Daphnia pulex: one gene and its partners. The protein of the gene in region 1 interacts with the protein of each later gene in a pairwise test. Links are inferred from orthologs where the notes say so. Each region holds a gene or a part of one and is shown on either strand. Other genes may lie near its edges. The genes, in order: SUMO-conjugating enzyme UBC9-B, uncharacterized protein LOC124207367 and double-stranded RNA-specific editase 1-like.

What was found.
Region 2: the proteins of SUMO-conjugating enzyme UBC9-B (region 1) and uncharacterized protein LOC124207367 interact in a two-hybrid assay, tested with the Homo sapiens proteins (2 studies listed by BioGRID and IntAct). The link is inferred for Daphnia pulex from reciprocal best matches to the Homo sapiens genes UBE2I and DACH1.
Region 3: the proteins of SUMO-conjugating enzyme UBC9-B (region 1) and double-stranded RNA-specific editase 1-like interact in a two-hybrid assay, tested with the Homo sapiens proteins (2 studies listed by BioGRID and IntAct). The link is inferred for Daphnia pulex from reciprocal best matches to the Homo sapiens genes UBE2I and ADARB1.

What each region holds. Positions count from the first base shown.
Region 1 is NC_060018.1:633,012-635,737, reverse strand, and holds SUMO-conjugating enzyme UBC9-B, read right to left. Parts: upstream 1,844-2,726; 5' UTR 1,691-1,843; exon of another isoform or gene 1,597-1,690; 5' UTR 1,588-1,596; coding exon 1,522-1,587; intron 1,447-1,521; coding exon 1,363-1,446; intron 1,250-1,362; coding exon 1,132-1,249; intron 1,070-1,131; coding exon 925-1,069; intron 855-924; coding exon 776-854; 3' UTR 616-775; downstream 1-615. Other genes in the region: receptor-type guanylate cyclase Gyc76C-like, read left to right, coding at 1-176. UniProt on the Homo sapiens protein: Accepts the ubiquitin-like proteins SUMO1, SUMO2, SUMO3, SUMO4 and SUMO1P1/SUMO5 from the UBLE1A-UBLE1B E1 complex and catalyzes their covalent attachment to other proteins with the help of an E3 ligase such as RANBP2, CBX4 and ZNF451.
Region 2 is NC_060018.1:6,753,864-6,757,618, forward strand, and holds the start of uncharacterized protein LOC124207367, read right to left. Parts: upstream 2,555-3,755; 5' UTR 1,897-2,554; coding exon 752-1,896; intron 1-751. UniProt on the Homo sapiens protein: Transcription factor that is involved in regulation of organogenesis. Seems to be a regulator of SIX1, SIX6 and probably SIX5.
Region 3 is NC_060021.1:11,145,668-11,149,422, forward strand, and holds the start of double-stranded RNA-specific editase 1-like, read right to left. Parts: upstream 2,273-3,755; 5' UTR 2,121-2,272; exon of another isoform or gene 2,109-2,120; intron 2,015-2,108; 5' UTR 1,981-2,014; coding exon 1,383-1,980; intron 1,319-1,382; coding exon 1,135-1,318; intron 1,067-1,134; coding exon 923-1,066; intron 860-922; coding exon 531-859; intron 467-530; coding exon 231-466; intron 167-230; coding exon 22-166; intron 1-21. UniProt on the Homo sapiens protein: Catalyzes the hydrolytic deamination of adenosine to inosine in double-stranded RNA (dsRNA) referred to as A-to-I RNA editing.

The DNA of each region.
Region 1 (2,726 bases):
AAGAAGGCAAAGACACGGTCATCGCCCCCACTGTTAGCAAGAGCGTGCCCAACGTCAAGCGGTGGATAGTCAATCTGTTCGGCGTGGGTCACGGAGGTGATGCTTTTAGTCGGAATCCGCAGACGGGAGAGGACTTTTCCGACCTCCACCGTGATGACAGAGAAAGCGTTGTGTGAAATTGCGCCTCCTTATTCTTGCATCCTCCACAGTCTTTTTACATGATGACAAATTTGCTTTACTTGTTTCGTGATTCGTATATTTCGCCATTTGAAAATGCCATACCCGATCTCCGATTCTTCTCGGTTAAGATTTTTAATCGATTTCAAGTCGGAATGTTTTCTTTGATTTTAGTGTATCTGTAATATTGTCGCTGCTGAAAATATTGTGATAAATCGGTTGTTGTTTTACATACCTTGTTTTGCACTTTGTACATCGATAACCCATTTAGTTCAAATTTTAATCAGGTAAGAGAGCCTTTGATGAATTCTAGTAGTTAAAAGAAGTTTGGTCTTCATAATCAGATATTCGCCAGATAAAACGCATATCAACAAAGTAGGTCACAACCAAATAAAATAGTCAAGTGACGTAATTGAAAAAAAAAAAGGTCAACAAGTGTTACACCTTACTTAGCGTTTTATTTCAGATCGGAGTATGTTTTCTGGACGATAAGTAAGTATTGAAATGAAGACAATAAGAATTTTTAAAAAACAAATAGAGCACGTGGAAAAGAAAAAGAAGTTAACTTATTCCTTGACAGCTGGATTTACTTGGGAAATTAAGACAGCAAATCAGTGGTGGCAGCCATAGCCTTGGCTTGTGCTCTAACACGTTTTTCGTACTCCATTCGATTTTGACTGGAGAAATAATCAAATGAAATATTACAATCCAAACTTTCAAGTTGTCTACTGGTGTAAAAATCATTACCAGTAGATAGTATAAGCTTCTGCCTGAGCCGGATCCTTAATATTGGGGTCATTTAGGAGATCTTGAATTCCAAGCAAAATCTGTTTGATGGTAATTGCAGGTCTCCAGTCCTTTTCTTCATCCAACAATGATAGACAAACTGTGCCTGGATATTAAATGCCAAAAGGTTAGCTAAAACAAAACACTCAAATAGCCATTTGATTCAACCTGATGGATAGACGTTTGGATGGAAAAGTGGGGGCTCAAATTTGCATTTTGGAGGAGAAGAGGGGTAGTCATCTTTAAAAATCATACGGATTTTGTACAATCCATTTTCCCAGGGAGTCTGTAAATGTATGCACAAGTTACACTTAATATTGTTACTTCAAACAACAGTGAATTTGGTAAGTATATCTGACACCAATGTGAAGTAAGATCTTTAAGTGTAAAACTCATTACCGATTTCTTGCCTGGAATAGCACATTCCCAGTTCATCAAATTGAGGGTTCCATCAGGATTCTTTGTGGGCCTGGCAACAAAACCCTAAAGGCAACGCAAAGATACACAAATCAAACACACACAACCCAACAACTATCGTTTGGCAAACCAGCAACTTACAAAGGGATGGTCTTTCCTCCAGCCTTTACGTTCCTCAGAAAGTCGAGCAATAGCAATACCGGACATTATTGGTCACTAGAGAATAAAAATTTCAGTGTGATGTAATAAGAAAGTGTGAATATGACTGAAGAAAGCAAGATGCAACAGCTCTTAAATAAATAATAGTTACCTTTTTTCAACGGCTGCCAAATAATTTAGCTGTGTAGTTTCGTACAATTATTGCCAGGGTTGCCTTAAGGTAATTCGAATAATTACAAATCAATTTAAAATTTAATTTGGGGATTTAAACGAATAAATGATGAAACATTTGCATGTAAAATATGGATTTCAATGAAATCAAACCATTTTGGCTGTAGCATGCATAAGCATTTTTAGTTTTAGTTTTCATCAACTAAAATTAAAAATGAACTGGCTATGCTGCCACTGCCTATGAAAGATGGCGCCCAGATGGTTCAAAAAACAACAGAGCAGTGAGTCACACAGGCATGCATCTTAAGTTCTTGTATTTTGTTTAAATTCCAAATTGAAAAATCAAGTGTTAAAAAAAATCATTGATATCTTCCATCTCATGTAGCTTTGATCGTTCAACATTCGAGACAAGCCAAGCGTCGTTTACGTAATGCTTCCAGAATATTCGAACACGTGAATCAACTAGTGACAAACCACAAAGGTATCACACGAAGACAAAACGAAAAAAGGTGCAAACAACCATGTCTCGAATGAATTAAGAATGATATAATCTCTAATCCTAAAGCCTCAGTTCAGTTTAACTTTGTGGATGGGGAAACTACAAAATTGATATAGAATGTTCAGAAAGGTATGAAAACATCAGTTAATTTGTCATATTAGGTCACAAACTCTAAATTTATTAAATGAAGATCTGTTATTCCCTATTATGGTTGTTTCAGCTAGGTACTTCTCGCATAGAAGGGTTGAATGTGTTAGTGCCAAAGTGGAAGGGAATGAAACATACTTGGGTATCTCAAAGCGGAAAATATCCTGTTAAATACTCATTAGATATGATGTATTGGTGATTTCACAAAACAATAGTGCTTGAATCACTATTTTGTATAGTTCAAAGATTATTACATGTGCCAGTTTTTAAACTAATTTCTTGCTTGGAAACGTAGTGTGCTATGTAATATTGTTGTGAGTCTGTCTTTATTTTTACCATTGCACTGAATAACAAATGACTCCTGAAGGGC
Region 2 (3,755 bases), about 6.1 Mb from region 1:
ATTTTAAAATATAAAATAAAATAAATAAAAAAGCTGGCCCGGATGCACCGTTAGACATTTCCATCTCATCGCAACTGGATGCTGTTTCCATTTCTCTCATCTCTAATAGTAAAGGGGCAAAATGTCGTCCCCTCATCGTGGGCCAGCGGCCGGGAGATTATCTCGGCCGGCGACTCGAATTTTGAAAAATCAAAAAGTGAGAAAAAAAAGGACCTGATGATATTGCGCCCGGAGCACATTAGCAGATGTTTGATTTATCGGGACGGAATCAGAGTCCGTTGATGTACTGTATATTGGACGCGGCTCAGCGCTTATCTGATCACTGCTGGGCAGCCAAAAGAGATGCCGCGCAGTCTCTCTAATAACAAGGGCCGTCCCCGAAAAGAGAAGAAAGAATATAAAGTCCAGCACAGGAGAGAAAGAAATCAAAGAAAAGAAAACGAAAAAAAGAAAAGGGTTTCTGGGACGACTTCGTGCTGAGACGCACAGCAGATGATGATGGGCCAGGCCAGCAGCACAACGCACCGGTCACAATCTCATCATCATCTCTCTTATCTATATAACTTATTCTTATTTTTTAATATTATTCGCTGACACATAAATCAAATGCTAGACGTTTCTGAACGTGAATCAAGTGTCAGCCTATGCGCTCAATTTATGATTAGCCGGACTTAAATCGACTATATAGAGCTGGAACTAAATATATCAAATAAGAAATAATAATCAGTAAGTCAAGTTTTGGATTGATTACCTGGCAGTGGTGCAGTCCCTGTAGAGGATGTCAAAGTCCTTGCAGGAGAGCAACTTGCAGCGGTTGACGCCCGGCTGGATGGCGCCGAGCCCGCGCAGGATGCGGACCTGCTCGACGTTGCAGACGAGCGGCACAATGTCCAGCCGCTTGAGTTTGGTGTAGACGGTGTGCAGGCCGCCGACCAGGTGCTTGAGGAAGAGCTCAAAGGCCTGCGGCAGGCACAGCATCGTCTCGCCGTGGATGACGAAGGCCGCCACCTTCTGGTTGCGGTAGTCCACCAACTTGCACTCGTTGGCCGTCGGGTCCGTGCTGGAAATGGGCGGCGGACTGTGGCTGCTGTACGGCGAGCGATCGCTGCTGTGGTGATGGTGGTGGCTGTTCTGGCCGTGCCCGCCACCACCGCCGCCCGAGTGCATCCCGTGAGAGTGGCCGCCGTGGTGGTGGCCGTGCCCGTACAGCGAACGCTCGGCGTTCTGCATGTTGGCGGCGGCGGCGGCCGCTGCGGCCGCTGCGGCTGCTGCCGGGTGGCCCAGATAGAGGCCCGGGTGGTAGCCGTCCGGCATGCCGGGGATGCCCGTCAGTCCGGCCAGCGAAACGGGCACGCCAGGGCCCATGCCGCCCAGCAGGCCGGCTTTGCCGTGGAGCAGGGCGCTCTGGTTGGCGGCGGCGGCCGCTGCGGCCGCGTGCAGAGCGGCGAACGACATGGACGACGACATGCCGGGCCCGTGAAGCGAGCCGGACAGCGAGGCCTGCAGGGCGGCCGAGTGGCTGTTGAGGTTGGCCTCCCCTCGGCTGGGCGGGCTGTCGCGGACGGGCGGACTGTTGGCCGAGCTGGGCCGGCGGATGGGATTGTAGGAGGAGAGGTCGTGCGGGTGTCCGGCAGCGCCCACCAAGTGATGCGACGACCGGCCGACCGGACTGCGACGGTGATCCAACGACAAGTTGTTCCGGTCGGGACTGGGCGTTGCGGACCTTCCGGCTCCGGCTCCTGAAACTCCTGACGCCGCCGAATCGGCCACTGATGAAGCCGGACTAGCAGAACTGGCTGCGCCGGGCGATAGAGACATGCTGAACGACAGAGGCGAGTTGCGTAACTTGTTGCCCGTCGACACTTGCGACTGGACCGACGATGAGGCCGTTATCATTTCTCGCCCCCAACCACTAGTGAAATAATTCTTTCCGGCCCGTCTTTTTTTCGACCGATGGTCCAGCCAATAAAAACAAATAAGTCAGCAGTCGACTCTGACTGACTTCCCTTCCACTCGGGTCACTCACAAACGACAAAATTTCAAATTAACCAACGGCCTTATTATTTTCTTCCTTTGTCAGACTGGAACTTGTCACACGGGCGAATCACTCAACACAGCACTAAACGCAATAACTTATTTTAAAAAATGTAATCAGAAATGTGACGCACGTGACGGAAAACAAAAAACCAGTCTAGGCTAACAGGTGAATCAACGAGCCGGCCCTTTTTGGAATAAGTTGGTCACTTTTGTGTCAAAAAGTTGTTTTCGATTTCTTTTGATTTCAGTGTCACAGCTGTCGGGCACTCCACTTGGCAAGAAGTGGCACGTCACAGTGGTGATGGACGAATACTAGCCGAGGGTTCAATTGTCTGATGTCAAAAGAAGAAATGGCAGAAACAAAAAGAGAAAAACGAGTAAGAGTCACGTAGTAGAACGAACAGCTTCGGACTGAGTCCAGAGTCCGACTGGCCACTAGAAGTGCACAAGAGGCAATCGCAGATGGAAGAGGGCCGGCCGAAACGGAGGTATGTTCTAACAACTGGAACTGGAACTGAAGAGAGAGAGAGAAAAGCTAAGGGGCCGGCAGCAGCGCCACACAGCCGATCCGAGTGCCGGAGTCAAAAGCGAGAAAGGGCGGGCACTCGCAGGAAATGGCCAGGAATCGAAACGGGGCAAAAGAGAGGCAGATCCGTCTCCTTGGCCGTCCTTGGCAAAGAGGGGGGAAAAAACACACGGAAAAAAGGTTGGCCCAGGAGCAGTCGACGGGGCGGGGTCCGTCACCCGTAGGGGACGTCCCATTCGCCGGCTGGGGGACTGCCCCGATCGAGCGCCAATCGGAGGGCCTCCTTAACCGTCTGCCGGTCACGCCCACCTTCTTCGGTAGGAGCTGGACCTCCTACAGTGGCACCGACTGCGCGCGCGGCCTTTTCTCCGTTTCCCACGATTTCCTCCCTTCTCTTTTGTGCTTAGATTTCTTCTTCTTTTTTCTTTTCTTTCTTCTTTCTTCTTTCCTCTCTCATCTTCCATCTTTTTCTCCCATTCGATCTGTATGCTCGCCGGTGTACATCATCGTTGTGACACGGAGCACGAAGAGGGTCGCCTCTCCGACACCCACCCGGACGCCCAATCTTTTCCGTCCATCTTCTTTTTTCATTTTTCATTTTTCATTTTTCTTTTTTCTTTTCTTCTTTTTCTTGTCTCAAAAGGGACGTGATAATTGTGCACGTGAAGTGGAAATGGAATTCGTGAGTCCTTTTCATGTGTCCGAAAGACAAACGGGCGAACAGAGAAGGAGGTGGGTGGTGTTGGTGGGTGGGTGGATAAAAAAAAAGGGGGGGGGATATATGAAGAAAAGAGGCCGAACCCTCTGCGGCTCTGCGCCGGCCCAACTCCTTTCGACTAATCCCGCCTTATTCCGTCTCCCATTGGATGCACAATCCGACTTGTTCGACTGTGAACAAGCCGAGAAATACACAGTCCCATTGGTTCTCCCGCAACAAACGGGAAATCTAACGCGCGCGGACCCAAATGCCAACTAGTAGTCCCGTCCCGCTATTATGTGTGTGTGTGCCAAGGGCCGTCTCTCTTTTTTCTTTTTTGTCTTGCGGAATCGTTTCGCTTCCATTCTTCCCATGAGTGTATTTTGTTGTGTTTTTTTTTGGTCATCAACACAGGACTTCTGCTTCATTTATTTGCAATATCTGTAGCCATAATCATCAAAGATTTATTGGCATATTTTGGCCTTTTCTTTTTTT
Region 3 (3,755 bases), on another chromosome or scaffold:
TAAAAAAAACAAGATCTGTACCTTTGCTGATTTCAACGATTTCATGTTCCGGCCATCCGTTGATCCAAATGATGCTGTTCTTGGGAGATTTGGCTGGTAAGCGGTCCGGTGGGGTGGTAATCGTCGACAAAACAGGCCGGGAAAAGATGAACGGCGATGGAAGACCCTGATTTGATACAATTAATTTATAAACTGTGACATTAATTCGCGAAACCAAATAATAATAATACCTGTAGATGTTCAATCCTGCCAATGAGGGCCCTTCGTAAATGAACCTGGTGAAACAGGCTGCCTACCACAATTGTATGGAAGTAGATCGGGTCAATTAGGTTGGAGAGTAAAGATCCTTGAATACCCACAACATTCCATCGGGCGAGTTTATCAGAGCAAGACATGGTCAATAGTCGCTCGCCCTGAAGGATGCCGTCCCACGTCTGAATGGCACACTCATTCACCGGCACAGTACCTATCGACCATTAACATTTATCATTTTTGCATGAAATAAAAAATAATATTTAAATTAGTCAAACCTTCTCCTGATTCGATTTTGGTTCGAAGAGCTCCTCTTCCTTGTCGATTGGGATGGAGATCTTCGAGAGGTGAGGCAAGTGACTCGTTAAGTGTGAAAATACGAGCGTCTCCACAAGGTGCGGAGCTCACGTATAAGTGAAACAGAACATCGCTCTTCAGTTTCAAGTTTTGACTGCCGCTTGGAGACTCAAAAATCGAATCGGACGGATTGGAATTGAATATGTTCAACTGGTCGTAGAGGTAACTGACTAAACCTCTTCGGGCCAACACCTCAGCGTGGCAATCGTTTAGGGCTTCTCCCTCCATACTCAGTTGGCCACCGTTGATGCTGAAAATTAAAAATTGAATTGAAAATTGAAAAATTGAAAATTGCTGAAAAAATGAAAATTACCACTTGCTCCCGGTAGTGACGCATATAACCGTGGCCCCATCTGATGTCGGCCCTTGGGTCATGACAACTCCAGCTAAAACTTTGTAGCGTGATAAACTTTGCTGCTCGTTTTTCATCATTTCGAGGTACGTGCTCTCAATTTGTCTAGAAAAAAAAATAAATACATTGATCAAATTCCAACTGTTCCTTATCAAATGGGGCGTAAGGTTTACCTTGCTATAAAATCTCCAAATTCAGCCTCGGTGGGTTTTTCAGATGATGTGGCCGCTGAGGGTGGTTTGGGTGGGTTGGTGCGCTCCAAGCCAAACGCCTTCTGTAGGGCGGCTTGTGCAGCCTCGTTCTTGGCTTGTTTCTTACTTGAACCAGTTCCCTCAAAGGGCTGATCCCCAATGACAACTTGAATAATAAAAACGAAAAATGATTACCACAAAAAAACAGAAACAAATTTCAAATCAATTACCTCGTGCAGTGTAAATTGGCAAATGAGGACTTCCTTCCTCCTTGACTATTTCAATTTTGATCCCAGGTTTCAGACGGTTGAGGTAGAAAACAGGATTGTTCTTGGCTTGTTCAGCGTTGCTCACAGATGCCATGGGCAATGCTTTCACTTTATCAGTGACAGCTGTTTCAAAAGAATAAAAGTCTTCAGAGCTGCAAACAACCTCTGAGAGATCTTTGCTAAAGTCTTCAGCTTCACCCATAATTTCTTCCATCAGAGGGGCTTTGACACTGGGATCTTTCAGCTGAACCGAGCAGAGGAGGATCATTTGTGCGACTTTCGCCTTGGCTTTCTTCTTGGTTGTGTCTTCGGCACTGTAGGTCTTGCCATTTAAAGTGACAGATGCAGCATAAATTCTGGCATGAGGTGGTCCAGATGCTGCAATGTCGTAGACGATATTCGGTTTGATTTCATTCAAAACCATTACGGGATTTTTTTGGCCAACGGCCACAGGTTCAGTATTCTTCTTTCGTTTCTTCTTTGGTGGGCCATCATCGTGTTTACTAGTCATCTTTGTGCTGCTCCACGGTCTCGATACTCCAGTCGTTACTACTTCCATTCAAAATCTTGACAATACGACTTGGAAATGAATTCTATCAATATTAAAAAGCAGATCAAAAGGAGGACTTATAATTTTGTTAAAAGGTAAAGAAATCGGAGAACAACGAAACAAAAAGAAGTGTTTACGTATACACACACCAGTGATGGGACGATGAGACTATACGTGCTGCGGAATAGTCCGCAAAGCTTTTCCAAGTCAATAAAAGACAATTCAAAATCCCACGATTTGCATCGCTTATCGATTCGCCATCTGCTTGATTCGCGGGAATAACGGGTTTTTCTTTCTTTTGTGTTGCATACTTTGGAGAATGATTAAATCGCCGATCGATAGAAATCAATCAAAATGTATTGATTTTTGTAGCCATCTATTAGATAACTGACAAAGTTTTTCGGTGGTTGAACTTTGCCGACATTTCCGATCGTTCCTTATTACACACGGAGTATATTCTGGCCCCCATCGGATTGTGTGTCATTTATAATGCCAAAGACATATCAATGTTGCGTGATTACGCCAACGGGGCAAGTAGACATCTGTGCTGGGATCAAGTTTATGATGAGTCGAGCGTGAGACAGATTGGCTTTCTTCCTCGGGCAATTCTCTGTGGCCAAGCCCAGCGGCGCCTTCAGCAGCTACAAGAGTCGAAAGGTCTCGTGGTATTGATTTACTTTTCTATCTTTTTTTAAAAAAATTATATCTCTCTGATTTGTTCTAATCGCTTCTTCTTATTTTTTAGAATTTAGTTCTTTTTGGTTGTTGTTCTAGCGGATGTGCTACGCGCCAGCTAATAATCAGCCTGGGTTCATCCTGCACACGGAAAAAAAGTTCCTTTTCTTCTCCTAAAAGTTGTTGTCTGTACATGACGCAACAGGATTGAGCAGCGACTCTTAAACGAAGGCCGACAGTCGATCTCACGAGTCCGACACCTCTTTTCTCCTGCCCGGATTTTATCGCCAACAACTTCCGCTCCGACTCCCGGATGCCAACTACAATATTTTATTCTCGATTTTTATCCCAATCAGTCGCAAACACAAATTCTCTCGATCCAAACAACAAAAGTAATTAGCCTGTATAGTAAATTTTGCGTGTTGTCTAGTCGAGTCTACTATTTCCTATTGTTGTTGTTGTTGTTGGCCGTTTCGCATGTTCGCACCGTTCGGCATTGAGTTCATCACGCAACGGTGATTACGATCCATCACTTTCAAGTTGGCTGGGACTTCCGATATGAAAATTTAGGTTGTTGAATATATATAAGCCACTACTATTATGTATGTACGTTTATTTCTATTAAAAAACGCCGGGACTCTTGCACCAGCACTGTTGCACCCAAAACAGCGGTCCACGTTCTCAGCTCAGCTGATCACGTGATAGCGTCGAAATGATGGCAATCGCAATTTACCCTCCCGAAAAAAAAAGATAAAAAAAAGTTACAAGTGCGTCTGCAATTTACCTACGTTACTTCCTTGACGATAATTATTAATGACGAGCATTAAAGAATGAGTAGCCGTTTCACCATCAGGGGACTGTAAACCGTTGGCAATTCCATAATTAAGATAATTACTTTGAACCGATAAAATGTTGTTACAGTCATGATAACTTTGCGCGTAAAAATGTGTCGATTGAGCGTGTGGAAACCAAAAAAAGAAAAAAACGGTCGACCGCAGCGCGGCCACCGCATTCTCTTTCCAAGGTTATATGGCGCAAAGCAAACGAACGCAGCGGTGAAACAAAAATGAAGACTCACGCCCATTATAGACTAGGATTTGACGTCCAAG